Linked DNA regions of Schizosaccharomyces pombe. Changing the gene in region 2 together with the main gene of any one other region gives a genetic interaction. Each region holds a gene or a part of one and is shown on either strand. Other genes may lie near its edges.

What was found. Genes that interact genetically often act in the same process or in processes that back each other up.
Region 1: mutations in hip4 (region 2) and med13 together harm fitness more than expected from each alone (negative genetic interaction), as found in Schizosaccharomyces pombe (2 studies listed by BioGRID).
Region 3: mutations in hip4 (region 2) and hos2 together harm fitness more than expected from each alone (negative genetic interaction), as found in Schizosaccharomyces pombe (2 studies listed by BioGRID).

What each region holds. Positions count from the first base shown.
Region 1 is NC_003424.3:3,094,575-3,100,545, reverse strand, and holds med13 (mediator complex subunit Med13), read left to right. Parts: upstream 1-1,878; coding exon 1,879-1,920; intron 1,921-1,955; coding exon 1,956-5,471; downstream 5,472-5,971. Other genes in the region: mtx2 (metaxin 1), read right to left, coding at 1-439; protein Noc12, read left to right, coding at 716-1,063, 1,127-1,285; protein mug74, read left to right, coding at 5,661-5,971. UniProt on the Schizosaccharomyces pombe protein: Component of the srb8-11 complex. The srb8-11 complex is a regulatory module of the Mediator complex which is itself involved in regulation of basal and activated RNA polymerase II-dependent transcription.
Region 2 is NC_003423.3:655,368-661,835, reverse strand, and holds hip4 (histone H3.3-H4 chaperone, HIR complex subunit Hip4), read right to left. Parts: upstream 3,212-6,468; 5' UTR 2,752-3,211; coding exon 1,735-2,751; 3' UTR 1,605-1,734; downstream 1-1,604. Other genes in the region: rrp1402 (ribosome biogenesis protein Rrp14-C), read left to right, coding at 751-1,452; hsp3103 (ThiJ domain protein, glyoxylase III), read left to right, coding at 4,728-5,513. UniProt on the Schizosaccharomyces pombe protein: Component of the HIR complex, which functions as a histone chaperone that cooperates with cia1/asf1 to promote replication-independent chromatin assembly.
Region 3 is NC_003424.3:3,167,926-3,172,012, reverse strand, and holds hos2 (class 1 histone deacetylase Hos2), read right to left. Parts: upstream 2,343-4,087; 5' UTR 1,904-2,342; coding exon 599-1,903; 3' UTR 501-598; downstream 1-500. Other genes in the region: phenylalanine--tRNA (Phe) ligase alpha subunit Frs2, read left to right, coding at 1-429; png1 (chromatin modification-related protein), read left to right, coding at 2,971-3,822.

The DNA of each region.
Region 1 (5,971 bases), on a different chromosome or scaffold from region 2:
GAATTTCAGAAAAGTTCTCGTTGTCCAAATACATAGTTAAGAGAATTGCCGTTTCTACTTGATTTATCAGCAAACTCATCCAAGGAGAGATTTGCTGCAGTGTTGACTCATCCTTTAAAAAATATTGTAAAAGAGATGGATTGAGGACTAATTTTCGAGATTCAATTTGAATAAAAGGTACTTTCTCATCTGGAGAGGCGTGGTTAGACACATTTAAAAAAACAATTGAAGGGTCGTTTAATTTTGCCCAGGTTTGCCATTGAAGACTATTAACGTCCAGAGCCTCTGAGTTCAAGTCGGAATTCCACATAGTCAAATACATGACTGTTTTCGTTTTGTAATCTTCATTTTCGCCCGGGTAAGGATTAGAAAACGTTATTAAAGGGAAGCGGGAGAAAATGGAATGAAAATAACTCGAAAATTTTGTTAGACCGCCCATCCTTTTCACTTGTCACTAAGTTTGCTAATTCTAAAGAGTTTACACCAATACCATCAATAGTGTGCTTAGCGAAATTGTTAGATTAAGTGGTAAAGCGTGCAATTTCTTCAAATTTCTACCTATATTGTAGTAGGAGAAAATATTCTGTTGTTTCTACTATACCAAGCATTAATTCTGCATACACACTTTTCTATTTTGCGTTGGATTTTCACATCCTCTAATAATCGATAAACTCGACAAAAGATTGTATTTATTTTATTTGACATAAATCATAATATGGATTTGTCTTTATTTTCAGATATCAAGGATGTCGTCGAGAGGGACATGAAAAAAAATTCAAAAGTTGTGGAAAATTCTTCTGCTAGATCACTAAAAAACAAAACAGAGGAAAACAAAACTATTGATAAACATAAAAGTTCCGTTGGTCCTAAGGAACCCAAATCATCATTGGAAAAGCCTAAAGCGAATCGGAAAAGAAAGCAATCGTATGGTTTACTCCATGATATTAAAGAACTCGGAGGTACCGAAGAGGATCTGGAGCTGATTGAAGATGTAGAAAGCGATGAAGAGTTGGAATTCGAAGAACCCAATCGTAAACAACCCAAGAAGGATGGGACTGATGCTGTAAGTCAATATCGATGTTTCTTAATTACTTCTTTCAAAAGGTTCTAATATCCTCTGTTTTAGTTTGCAAATGAGTTGAATTTGTTCGCCAAAAAATTGGGCTTTTCTAAAAACAGCTTTGATGCTCGTGCTCTAGACACTGAGTCAGAAGATGAAACCGAAATCGAAAAAAGTTCGTCTGAAAATTCTGATTCAGTTGATGTCGATTCGGATGATGAGTAAAAAACGCTTGACAACTAGTTTATTTATTTAAAAATTTTCCTTCTTATTATAACTTTATAAGCAATGAGTGTATCTGTTAAAACTGATTGGGGAATCCCAATTTCTCTGTAATCTTCTCGTTCACTTTTCAGATGCCATCACTCATGAGTTGTTTAAACCATCATTCAAGAGGAGTCTTAAGGGAATGTAATGTTTAACTAACATTATACTGAGGGATAGGTTCATACATATTACCTGAAGGAGTTGCAATTGTGTTGGACCTTTATTGCTACACTTTCATTCATTTTAATTATTTGTAAAGTAAGGATAGGAATTTAAGGCGGAGCATTCTTTTTTTATTAAAATAGCGGTCATTACGGGATTAATATAAACATTATATGTCAGTATATATTTCCTTCATCAATTTCGAAGCATTTATGCTTATTTGCATACTAAACCGTTAGTTTAATGTTTGTTTATTTTATTATTAACAGTAAAAGTATCAGGTGTGTTTTAAGAAATATGTTAAAATGAGACAGTGGCCGCATGTGCTTTCTTTACGCGTGTACGCTAGCTACTTCCTCTTATATAATAATCTGCCATTATCCTCTGCCATGGTACATGATGGAGTTCATCTAATTAGTATTAAAACAATTGTAATTATTTCTATTATAACATGATAAATTAAAAGCTAACTGATCAGCCTTGCCCTAACACTATATATTATGCGAAGTATCAGGTTCAGCGAAAGGACAATGAGGATGCTGCTTCCCTCTTAGAAGACAAAGAAGCTTATCTACGAAATCAGGATTGCATTGTTCACGCGAAGAATGACTTACTTTTTGTATATGATTTTCAAGCCATTCCATCTATTCCTGAGGAATCATCTTCTTTTATGCTACTTAATTCAGGTGCATTTTCCAGATTAGCTCTTTTTCAAAAAGATGAATTAGCTCTTCTATTAGACCTGTATATAAACTTTCTTCAAGGATTGAAAAAAACGGTGTTGTATTGGCTGTGCAAAGAATACAACTTTGTTCCAATTTATGGTGTCCTTCTTCCTTTAAAATTACACCCTTCTTTCGATACCCAGCTCTGGAACATATATGGATATCCTGTTGTGGATTTACAGCTTTCTGTCTTATCGAAAGGCCATATAGAATTTTACTTAAAGCCTACAAGGCAGACGGTATATCGTTTGTCGGAAGTGGATAATTTGGTTAAAAAGTTAGACACTGTCATTCGTTTAGCCCCGACTGGTTGTTTGGCAACATTAACCTCTGTGCATGCCAACGCATCTGCTCAAACTGTTGATGCATTGAAACACCGCTATGGATTCTCTCTTACGACTACTTCAAAGTGGGTGGGTGTTACCTTAGAATCTTCGGCATTAGAATTTTCCTGGCCTTTAGAACTTTGCTTTTTGGAAACGTCGGCCCTTCGAATGAATGATGATTCATTATCTAGCAACCTTACAGATTTGAATAACCTAGTCCTCCCTTCAAACGTCGTAAACAATAAAAAGGAATTAACTGAGTTCGCAAATGAAGAAGCGGAAGCTTCAGATAAAAGAAAAGAAGGTTTTACAGAAAAGGAAGAGACTGCTGATGCCGTTGTAACCTTGGTTCCTTCTCATAGTTCTTCTCCCGTTAATTATTCGATAAATTCTGCAAAATCTACACCTGCTTCAATAAAAGTAAATGAAGAGATACTTGTTGCTGATCATAATGTTTCAGATGACATACTAATGGAGGAAATAGACGATGTTGGAATAACAGAGGCTGATTTTGATTACTTTGACTTACCTAACGTTGAAGAAAAAGTTGAGATGATTGAGCCTAATTTTGCAAATACTATGACAACCTTAGATAATGAGGAAATCAACACTTCCATCTCTCAATCAAACACCAGTCCAAATTTGAATACTCACGAAAATATTCCAAAGCAAATGGAAATTCAATCGGATGATAGAATGGTAACCGAAGATTTAAATCCATACAACGTCGAAGTTGATATTCCTGAAATTTCTTTAAATATTTCAGATTCTAAAATCCCTACATCTGCGTATATGCCTTCATACTATTCTGCGGTAATTTTTCCCTCGTCTATCTCCAGTATTTTTCAGAAGTATAACTATGGTGGTAAATATTGGTGCCCTTCTCCTTCTTTGTCAACTGAAGATTTATTTGAATCATTTTCGGTCGCTGAATCGGTAACTAGTACAGATGAAGACATCTGCTCTACAAACTTTATACAACAAGATTTTACAATGGAGTATAATCACGATTTTTTTTCATCTTCTAAAACACCCACTAATATCTCAGAACAAAGTAACCCCGATTCAAATTATGATACGCTATCGTTAGCACATCAGGTTCTTATGAATGAATCCAAGTCAGCAAATTTTGATTTCAGTTTTTTAAAATCGTTAGATTTACAACCCACTATTACCTTGGGAAAAAATGACTTGTTAAACGCTATTTTGTCTCAAAACTTATGGTTTAGATCGTTACCTTTTTGGAAAAGCATGACTACCAGTTTCATGATGTCTCAAGATGTTTTAAACTTTTCTTCGTACATGCGGAAGCCTATTAGGGATTATTTAGAGAAAATATTGTTAGGTGAAAGTTCGGCTGTTTTCTTGAGCAAAAGCCCAGAAAATTATCTGTCCTCGATTAATAACGGGCATCACGCATTAAATGACAATCCTCCATCCCAAGTTAACTTTTCTGAAACGTTGGTAAACTTCTCCCAACCTCCTCGTGTTTTGCTCAAATACAACGAAAAAAAGTTGTCTTTAGATTCTTCGGCACCAGAGAATTGGATATCTTTATGTCTTCAACCGTATGGTGAGAGCAAAGATTTTGAAGTTTTTTTGCTCTCTTCCAAATCTCCCGACGTAAGCAGCAAGGCTATCAGCTTTTTTTATGATGTTCAGCTGGCTTATGAAAACTGCAAACTTGGAAAACTGAATTTATCTGAAACTTCTATTAACGAAAGAGTGATGGGATTCAGTACAAATATTAATGAAACAGATAATTATGATGATAATGAAACAACTCAAAGCGATACAGCAACCTCTTATGAACAACTAGCGAGTGTTTGTGTTAATGAATTAAGCGGAAAAAACGTACTTTTTTTTTATTTTTTAGAAGATGATTCCGAAAAACTTTTAAAGGCTTGTCAACATTTTATATGCGTAAAGGACTCAATCAAGAGACTTGGGGATAATAAATTTGAAGATAAATCATTACGAATATGCACGATTCCGAATTCTATTTTTGATTCACCCAACTCGCATACTACAAATTCGAACTCTTTTTTTACAAAAGTTTCACTCGACATTTATAATAATGATCCTTTATTGATGGATGGTTCATTAAAGAGACGTGAACCGGCTTTTCTCCTGAAAAAGCCCTTGTTATCAACTCTTAACTATCAGCTTAAAGATATTAATCCCAGATCTTCAGCTTTGGGAGAGTATGCGCTACATGTAACGTATACAACTGTCGAAGAGCACTTGCTTATTTGCAATTGGAATGATTCCTATGGAGAATTTGAAACTGAGAGACGCTATTTTCTCCAAGACCTTGAAATTGAAGATGCTTTACAGCAAATTTTAGAAGTCACATTTACGTTCCTTAACTCAATGCACATGGATTGGATAGTAATCGTCATGAAGATTGGTGAGATGTCTGACGCAGAGTATCTGTTTTGGGATCAAGCAATAATACCTGAAAACTTACAAGGCAATGTTTCTCTTACAGTTGGTTACTGCTCAGCAGAGCACGGACCTGGCTCAACTTCGAAAGTGTTTTCAAGGATTCCATATTCGGCTTCAAGCACAGTTATTCGTAATAATAGTAGTCATGAGCTCTCTTTGGTTGCGTTTATCCGAGAAATGGCAATGCCTGTGCCGAACGATGAATTTAAGAAAATTTCTACAATCTTAGCTAGAGGATACTTAGCATTAGACGAGGACGAATCTTATTTACCACTGTTAAGCATTCATCTTTTGATATCTCGAAATCATGATCCTTATTTAATGTTAAATCTTATTTTAAAACATTATTTAAGTATGATTTATTTACAGTTTCGAACGTATGTTTCTTTTTCTTCACTCCCATTACACATTTCTACCGTTTTATACCAGAAGCAACTATTGCAGTTTATGGCATCAGACATTACACATCCTGTGACCTCTTAGTTTTTGGGGTATTATTAATTTATACAGTATAAGTTTATAATGCGCTTGTGCCAAAATTGGTTTACTCTTGTTATCGTTTTTGTTTACTAGATTGGGAAGGTTGACATAGTGAAAACACAGTGTTTGTTTACTGTCGACTATTTCATATTCCGCCATTTTTAACCATGAAATTAGCCAACGCAAAACATAATGAAGAAACATAAGTCCTCAATTAAGTGTTTTAAGATTGACCAAATATCTCAACAACCTGAAACCGATTTGGTTTTTACTAAAAGGTCGGAATGCAAAGTAAAAGATGAGCTATTTTCAGATAAGGAAAACTCAATCTTATGTAAACAGTTGAAGGAATTAGATTTAGTTGTTTCTTCAAACAAAGAGTTTCTAAACGAAAAGACATCGGATCAAATTTCGTTTTTGAAACCAAGAGAAACAGTAGTTGAAAAAAAATTAGCAAATGGGAGTATTTGGCCTAATGAAACTTCCCATTTAGATAAATCTAG
Region 2 (6,468 bases):
TTCCTCTTGGATAAGGGATATTCTTAAAACACTCAATGCTTGCGTATCATCGCATCCCTTCCAAATACATTTGGTTCAGGTATTTGTTTACATCGTCTTTAGCCTTTCCAGTATGACTGTGGAATCAAAGTCATAACGAAAAACATAGAAAATTATTTTCATAAATGTTTTTTTTTACAAAATAGAGAAACTCATAAACGCGGAAATAGACTATTTACTCTTTCCAATATTGTGGCTTTCTGCGCGGACTAAATACAAATTACCCTACCCATTATCTCGCTTAACGGTATGCACCTTTTCATTAAACAATAATAACGGCGCGTAAACTTTTGGTAAATACAATAACGTATTACGTTAAATTTCGAAATAGAGGTTTTCTTTCAGTCTTTTCCACACTACAAGTACATGTCTTTATTACAAAAAGGCGTTCTTTCAATCTTGAATAGCCATTGAATCTTTGTATTACTTTAGCTTTTTTTCCCTTTTATTAAGTTTTCTTTCAAAGCAATTGTTTTTGGATTCGCAAACTCCATATTATCGGGTTTCTCTTTTTTTGTTCGTGGGTAATTAGGCTTCATTTTATTTATTATCAATCATCAATTCAAAAGTTTTTTTCGTTTAAGAAATTTTAACATCCCTTTTCTATTTTTATCGGGTTGTATCGGATTTTGTTTATTAACCCAATTCTGATTGTGTATTTTCATCCTCTTTCTCCATTATTTGTGATTCCTCCTTTATCATCGGTCTGTAATGGAAACAACTGAAGGAAAAAATGACTTACGAGCAAAGCTTGCTGAAAAGATTCAGACATTTCGCTCTCAAAGAAAAGCTACTGAAAAAGTAGACCGTGCTCTACTTTTACAGCGCAGAAAAGAAAAGGCAAAAGCTCGTGCTGAAGCGAAGAAGTTAGCTAAAAAGGAGTCAAAGGCTAAACAGGAATCAAAAGTGGCAGCTTATGACACTGGGAACTCTTCTGATAACATTGCTGACGAGGAAAATGACAACCACAAGAGCACTATTACTTATGGTACTTTAATAGTCGGAGATGACAAATTCTCGAATGGTAAACTAAAAGTTGCCGGAAAAAAGCGAGGTCCTACTGATGTCTTTGGCGCTCTAAAGCATTTGGAAGCCAAGAAACGCCGTATTGAAAGCATGGACGAAGAGAAAAGGAGAAAAATTGAAGAAAGTGATAAATGGCATAGAGTTTTGCTTCAGGCAGAAGGGAAAAAACTCAAAGATAACGAGCAATTGCTTAAAAAGAGCATTCGTCGCAAAGAAAAGGAAAAGAAAAAGTCTTCAGACGCTTGGAAGGAAAGGAAGGACAACGAAAAAAAAGCAATGTTAATGCGGCAGCAACGTAGAGAAGAAAATTTGAAAAAACGTAGAGAAAGTAAAAAGTCTAAGAAGGGGAAGGCACCAAAAAAGAAGAAGCCATCCAAGAAAAAATAGACGCTTAACTTTAAATTTGTTCAAAAATTATACTGGTCTGTTGGGATTTAATGGTTAACAAGGAGGTTTGGGTTTAAATAGCTTTTTTTGTCATTTGATTATGAATGAATACATAAATTTACTCATACAAACAGTAACACTGAAACAAAATTCTGCCTTAAAAAAGAAATAGATAATCAATGCGGTGTGATGATAATTGCTTTTTATTAACGAAAAAAATATGATATAAAAATAATATACAGAAATCGATTGACAGATCTTCAGGTCACTACATATGTATAATTATGGGATGCTACTAGTTGGAATTGATTTCTCTGGTTCAGCTTGATGTTCATCAACGGGTAAGGATGCATTCTGAGAAAGAACGATGCTTACTTGTTGAGTAGGTTTCGAAACGACAGAAGCATTGCCCTGATCAATAGGTAGGGAGGTCGAAGGTTTGAGTTCCTCCGTAGAAGGATTAGTTAAAGCACTTGGAGGAGAAATGTGCTCATTAACAGTAGCGGGAGAATGCTTTGGTTCAGAGAGAGGTGGTATAGGGGGTGTAGATGTAAGAGGTGTCTCAAGTTTAACAGCCTTTTTGGTATTTTCTCCCGTACTTTGTTTGGGCACTGAAGAGGATGTCTTTTTTGTGGCTTTCTCTTTGCTTTTCGTTGTTTTTGCTTCCTTCTTAGAGACATCCTTGGGAACCTTTGCATTTTCCCGTTTTGCCTCTTTTAAAGCATTCTTAGCAGCCATTTCAATGGACAAAGTCCTTAATGGCTGCTCGTCCTCAGATTCAATATCCCTACTATCGTCAAAGCTAGCATCCGCTGAAGCCACCACCGCAGAGACAGCTGGCGCAGGGTGTGTAGCATTGGATAAAGATGTTTTCTTCTTTTTCTTAGTCTTCTTTGATCTTTCGATTTTCACAGTATCTCCTTCGGCCACGAGTGGACCGCTAAATACAAAAAATCCATCTTTGGTAGCGGCAGCCTTCTCTTCAATGTAGAGCTCAGCATCATCAATAAAGGGATCTGTTCTATCGTAGTATTCGTCAGCGTACCTCCTTTTCCTTTTCTTTTTCTTTATGGTCTGTGTACCATCGGCCGCCCCATTAGCTGCTTGTTGCTCATCAACATGTGTACTTTCGCCCTCAGAATCCGCTGAGTCTGAAAGATCATTTTTTTTTGAATTCTCCTGAACAGAGGGTCCATAAAGTTTTTCCACTTCTTTTGCAAAATTAATATGTACGTTTTCTTTGCCTTGCAAAGGAATTTCCAAGCAAATAATTCGTTGGTCGCCAGACAAAAGCGACATGACGAACAAAAGCGAAGTATAGTGAAAACGTAGAAGAAAAAATTTGCAAGGAAAAGTAATCCTAACAAGCGAAAATGGTAGTTTTAATTACAATTGAGTCCAAGACTTAGTGCCGTCGTTTCACTGAATCCAATGGATAAGTTAATAGAAATTTTCAATTCAAGAGCACTCTTAACAATTGAACAAGGCTAAGAGTTGATAGCATTAAAGAAACAAACTGCAGACCAAAAAATGAGAAATTGGACGCTTGCACTTTTTTGTAACTGAATAAATGATAAGTTCTGCGACGCTGCGTCAAATTTCTATAAGAGAGTGCAACAACAAGTGATTGAACTAGAAGCAACAAAAAATGCAAAGTGGTTAAATGATAAACAATAATTTGATTAGGAGGATGGTAAAGTAATACTTTATTTGGTAATAACTTTGAAACGAGTACGAACAATTCCCACAGTATGGGGATAGATCAAGTAAATAGCACGTTATAATGCAACTTATACTGAACAACATTAGCGCAGCAATCCTCACTTTCTTAAAAGTAAAGGGCAAAAAAGAATGCTCCTGGTGAGGCTCGAACTCACGACCTTCCCCTGTCATTATATGAGAGGGATGCTACCACCGACTGAGCTACAGAAGCTTGTGGTACACAGAAAAAAGTTACATTATATATAGGGTAAATTTATTAATTATATGAAGAGATAAATTATCATTTCTAATTACTATACGTATATATGAGTTTGGAGATTTTCAATGGAAAGAAAGGAATGAAAATGATTAATTGATCTGAATTTTTTGTTTTTAAGGAAAACTTTATTCATGGAAATTGGGTATTCAGTTGGCATTGCTTTATCAATACTCCACTACTAAGTAAAGAAAACTGTTCATGTGTGCACAGTATCATGACTACAGAACTGTATGAATGGGAAATTGTCATTTTAATCATTTAAGCTCTTAATAAACAAATTGTACTCAATATAAGCTTACTTCTCATAATCATTTCTCCTAAATAGCTAGCTGCTCCCCAATTCGTTATTCCCTTTCTACTGCAGGTCGCATTCATTGTAGTATAGACATTTGCGACTCTATCGAAGAATAAAGTCATAACATCCTAGGAATTTTTTTTCAACGAATATTTTTATTCGTAATTTTCTAGATTACAACTCCTGATCTACCAAGGCAAAAAGAAACCATCGTTTGCTTTAGTGCCAACAAAACATATACAGCAGTGGTTTATAGTATATTGTGGTTTTCGTTACAACTCACCATCCTTTTATTAAAAATTTAGCAGGAAGTGGTAGTTAGTTCATTTTTTTGATTTTTAGAAAAATTCATGTCGAATACACATTTGTTAAAGAAAGTTAACGAATTATTGATTCAGCCGGTGAACCAGAAATTACCCGACATCTCTTTTTCTTTCGTTGTGTGATTATAACAGTGCTTCAGACATATTTTGTTCGTCTATTATTCGACTTTTAGAATGTAAACATGTGAATACGCAAACCTGCTATTGTACGAGGAATTTATTTGCTCAGTGTACGAGACCCTGGCCTTTTTCATCACTAATACTTGGCTACGCATTGCTCCTGCTGTCATACGGAATTTCGAACAAACCAGATGCAAAATGCATTTCGTAGCCACATTACAAGTTTAGGGGTGAATTAGCAAAAAATAAGTCGTTAGCTATATGAACTTGCTGCATCTAGAATACCAATAGGCAATGAAAAGAGCTATGCCGTCTAAGGAGAAAATTTCTGTAACTGACATGGAAATAATTAATCAGTGGACGTTGCACTTTACTTAATGTTTACGTAAAAAACCGATAAACGAAAATTTATCGAAGAAATACTAATATTTAGAGTCCAAAAAAAAGACATAAAAGGATGGTCTTCACCGAAAATCCAAACAATTTCATCGAACTCTTTCTGTCTTCAAGGAGTTATACATTGTAAAGCACTATACAAACTATTTTTAACTCAAAAATGCCTGCTAAAACTAGAAATGTCTTAATTGCTTGCTCTGATTATTATGGACCATTTTATAAAGATGGTGAGAATACTGGAGCATTTTTTTTAGAATTGTTACATCCTTATTTGGTATTTAGAGATGCTTGTTTCAATGTTGACATTGTTACTGAATCAGGGAAAATCCAATTCGATGATCATTCAGTAGCAGGTCCGGCAATTGACAAGGGATCTAAGGGTGAAGAGTTTTTGAGCTATGATGATCACATCGCAAGTGGCCCTGAGCTATCCAAAGCTGAAAAATATGTTTTGGAAAATAAGGATGATATGTTTTGGAGGATTGTGCAAAATTCCAAAACCGCCGACGAAGTGAATCCTGACAAGTATGACATTTTCTTCGTAGCAGGAGGACATGCCACTCTATTTGATTTTCCAAAAGCTACAAATTTGCAAAAACTTGGTACTTCCATTTATGAAAATGGGGGAGTAGTAGCTGCCGTGTGCCATGGTCCTACATTACTTCCATTCATGAAGCGTCAAACGTCCGACGGCTCTGTTTCAATTGTCTGTGGTAAAGATGTTACCGCCTTCGATAGGGTGGCCGAGGATAAATCCAAACTTATGGAAGCGCTGAAAAAATACAACTTGGAGGTTTTGGACGATATGTTGAATGATGCAGGAGCCAACTTTATCAAGTCACCAAACCCATTCGGTGATTTTGTAATAGCAGATGGAAGATTAGTTACTGGTTCCAATCCTGCAAGTGCTACATCTACGGCGAAAACGGCTTTGCGTGTTTTGTAAAGCGAAACGATAATAAAGCTATTGGATAATGAGTCTTTTTAAACGATTAATTTGAACGTATGATGAAATTTATGTATACAGGAAAAATTAATGATGCGAACATAATTTGACGCCGATGAATAATAACACTCAAAATCATTGATGATATTTAAAGTGGATTACATACACTAGAAATGAATAAGATTGAATATATACTATAAAAAAAAATTTGTCAGAATTTTTCAAAAAAACGATTTCACATTTATGAATCTATATTGATATATACTTTCATTCATCTGTAAATACAAAACACCGTAGCAACAAGCAACAGTACCACAAATCGCTCCTTCGAACACTTTCAAGTTTTTCTGCCATGACCTTCTTTATGGAAGACTTTTCCATCTATACTTATAAGAACATCGCCTCTGAATAGATACAGCTACTTATTCAACTGAAAAAGAAATTTACATTTCTTTAAAAATTGGGGAATCGTTTAATATTTCCTAAACTTAGTTAACGTAAACGAGCGTTTGCAAAGCCTAAACTCGGCTACTGTCATTGCCGGTTTTTTTTAGTGACACGTTAGATTGCAGTATCATTTGCATTGCATTAATTATAAGTATAAACAGTATATTTAGATAACCTCGAAATGTATATATTTATGTATCACGGAGATTTTGTTTAGTATTATAATCTACGTAAGACCACGGAAAGCAAATTTGTTTGCATTTTAATCAAAACCATTTTTATAAATAGAAGCAAAAATGTTGTTTAAATGTTCATTTACTGCATTATTAGGTACATTCCCATGGAGTGTCTGGCTATAACGATAGATAACGCAATTTACCACAGTTCTTTGAAGCACTGTTGGCAAATTTACGCTGAGGTGGGCTTTTAAATTCGTTAAATAATTTAAGCTCTTAAGTTTGTAGATCCCTATACAAAAGCGAGACTCAATAACCAACTAGGGCAAATT
Region 3 (4,087 bases), on a different chromosome or scaffold from region 2:
CGCAATGAAACCGTTGACGCAACTCATCTTGCCGAATTTCATCAAGTCGAAGGCGTAATCTGCGATAGAAATATTACCCTCGGTGATTTGATCGGTTTCCTTGAGGTGTTCTTTGGAAAAATGAACGTTAAAAATTTGCGCTTCAAACCTGCTTATAATCCTTATACTGAACCTTCATTGGAAGTCTTTTCCTACCACGAAAAGCTTGGTAAGTGGGTTGAAGTCGGAAACAGCGGCATGTTCCGTCCGGAGATGTTAGAGCCTATGGGATTACCTAAAGATGTTCGTTGTTTAGGTTTTGGTCTTTCTTTAGAGCGCCCCACTATGATCAAATATGGTGTGGCCGACATTAGACAATTGATTGGTCCTAAGGTTAACTTGGACCTAATTGAGGCTAGCCCTGCAGTTCGTTTAGACAAAGAGGAATAAATTTAGTGTTTTTTTTTGCATAATCGTTTATAAAAATAATACATAATCACTATGGTAAACGTATTTTCGTATAGGGTCAATTATTAATATTTACAATGTCTATAAACATTAACTAAAATTATTTGATGTTTGTACGGATATCAAATAAAAAGTCGAAAATTCATTAATATCAGCCTCGAACGCGAACATCCACAGCTTTGTCTAAGTATTCATCATTCAACCGTTCGTCTTCTTCTTCCAAATGCCCAGTTAAGTCTGGTGGAATTTGCTGCATCTGAACGCTTGGCGCTCCTCCTAAGTAACGTAATTGCTCCAAGGCCCGTATTCGAAGATCTTCAAGAGCTTTCGGTGTATTTTTATTTTCTATCTTCGTGGTTAATCGCGGATGGAGGGTGTAATCTGGTGCGAAAAATTCGTAATACAAAGTTTCACGAGGTAATTCTGAAGGTATTTGTTCGTTTACACATATGGAAGTTTCATAACACCACGCTCTAGCAACATTTCTAAGAGTATAACCACCACCTCCAACTACAAGCATGGGTATATTGAATGAACGGGTAAATCTAACACATTCCCCATGTGCATGGATGCTCAGATTGAACACGCCGAGCCGATCATAACCAAGCGAATCAGCACCACACTGAAGGACAATTGCAGAAGGTTGAAAAGTATTGATAGTTGGTTCAATTATGGATTTGAAAAGACTAGTGTACTGTTCATCACCAATACCATCTTCCAAAGGAACGTTTAAAGCAAAATATTTCCCTCCTTTCACGCCATTTTCATCAAAATTACCAGTTGCAGGAAAAAAATCACCATTATACTTGTGAAAAGAAACCGTCAACACGCGGTCAGATTCATAGAATGCTTGCTGCACACCATCTCCATGATGAATATCGATATCGATATACAAAACGCGAGGAAAAAACCGTAGCATGTTCAAAATTGCTAGAACAATATCATTAACATAGCAGAATCCACTAGCCTCACCACGCTTTGCATGATGGAGACCACCGCTCCAATTGATAGCAATGTCTGTTTGACCTTGCACTAACTTCCGAGAAGCATCCAAACTAGCGCCTGCCGACCTTTGAGAAAATTCATAAGTGCCGTCAAAGACCGGACAGTCATCACCAATATTGAATTGTTGGAACTTATCAGCAAATTGTTCAGCATTATCAGGAGTAACGCGCTTAAGGAAATCCAAATAATCCTCCCTATGAAATTCTGACATTTCACCAAAAGTTGCCATCCGGGGGCTGAATACACTCATTTTGTTATGCAACCCATAACCCATCACTAAATGATTTGTAATGGTAATTCGATGGGGCTTCATTGGATGTTTGTCACCATAGTGGTAGTTTCCCACCTGTTCATCTAAGTGATATGTGACACGCTTTTTTTGAGGTCGAAAGCTAAAAAAAGACCCCTTTTCAACTTGTTCATAAGGTGTGGATGTCTCAGGAGTATCCATGATATACAGACTATTATACTAAAAAAAACCGCGAGACAAATTAAATGAAAATATCTTTTCTAAAGAAAGAACAAGAAAAGAATAAATAAAATTAAGAAACAAATTAATAACTGTTTCAGAAGAAACAAGAGAAATGAAAGTTATTGACCAATGCCAAATTAATATAAATCGAAAAACAACCCAGATTTTTTTATAGAAAAGAATTCAATCCAAATAATAAACAGCAACACGAACTGTAAATACTTTATTTTTACGTCGAGCGCAGAATACGTAGCAAAAGGTCGCTAAACCCGATACCTTATTAGATAAAATGTACAACTTCAACAAAGCGTTAATTCAAACTCTTTGAAGCCCATAAACACAAGAACAAATAGGATTTACAATTTTTTGAAGAATTGCTAGTGCTGGTTCATTCTTATAACTTAAAAATGTATATCTCAGTGAACACAGAAGGAAGCTACCAACTTAGGTGTAGTTTAGTATGTTATGCTTCCATATATGAACTAACACATTAATAACGTATCGTTATTACTTAAACAGATGGTAACCTTTAGCATGTGAATTCATAGACAATTTGGCAACTTAGATATCATACATACGTTGAAAAGATTTATCTTCAAAGTGATTTGGTTTGCGTGAATTCTTATGTTTTTATTTCGCCCTCTTTGCCTTCCAGTACTGTGTTTACATTATATGGAGTGGCGGAACTCAACACCAAATGTGGGCTACTATAAACAACCGGAAAAATTTTCAGCAGCTTAAGAGAGTGTAAAAATAATCTTTAAACGACACAAAAACGAGCCATAGGTTCATATATATTATTTCAATTAGTGTCTTTGTCCTTCTCGTTTGTACATTTATTGTCACATTCCTCTACTTTAAAAGATAAAGTCATAGTATCTTTTATTCATTAGTTATTGAAGTATCGAAAATATTAGTGGAATATCAACTTTCCCTATCTCTTTAAAAGACTCAAATCTCCCTTTCTTTTGGAATTTGAAATCATAATAATAATTTTTGCATAAAGCGGAAATTAGAACGTATCTATAATTTTCAATTTGAGAATAATGGCAGATGATACAGCTTACATACTAAGTGAGTATTTGCAAACGTTGGATAATGTTCCCAACGAAACAAAACACATCTTTGACGAAATTAGTGTGAAGGAAGTTGCTGTACATGACATCTGGAAGAGAATTCAAGCAGCTGATTCTCAGATTCAGTCATACATTAAATCACATGGTTCCTTGACCCCACATCCAAAAGAAGATGCTTTGTATTCGACGATTCGCGAGGAGTATCAAAAGGCAATTAATATACAGAACGAGAAAGTCCAGTTGGCGGATCGTGCCAGATTGGGACTTACACGGCACATAAAGCGATTGGATGATAGACTTGCAAAGGCCGGTCATGGATTTACAGCTGCGGAATTGTTAAATGCTCCTGACTACTATGCTTCTTCACCGTATGGTGGATACAGTCCAAGTGGTGCCTCAAGTGCTCGTCAAACACCGGCCCCTTCTCGGTCGGGAGCCTCAACAGCTGGTCGCCGTCGTACTTCAGCAACTACCAGGGGTGCAATTCAAAATGGAGTCTATCACTCTCCTTATACGGCTTCGTTGGCAGATTCTGGTTCAACTCGCGGTCAGAAGGTTTCGAATGCCACTGCAACCACCCAGTTAGAAACTAAGGCAGATTCCACAACGCCGAATGAAATGGTCTCAGAAGAAGATATGGAAGAGGATAATGAAAAGTATTGTTTTTGCCAGCAAGGATCATATGGGCAAATGGTCGCTTGTGACAATGCTAATTGTGAGCGTGAATGGTTCCATATGGAGTGTGTTGGTCTTAAAGCTCCTCCTGAAGGTACATGGTATTGCGAAGCTTGTAGGGATCAGAAGCTTGTTGATGCTAAGTAATTTTTCCCCAATCTAAAGTCTGTTGGTCTTCCCATTATTGAATGCAAGCATTGTTGTTTTTTTTTGGGCTTTAATATCCGCTAATTTTTCACCTGTTCCGAACTTACTATATTTGATTATACGTTGTTCAAGCTGTGTATATGTGATTTGCAAAATGGTTAATTTATTAATCATATCTTCACGATTACGAATCCTTTTTATCTTATTCTTGTCCTTGTTTGTTTTTCACTCACATAATAAGTACCAGATTACTTGTACATTAAGA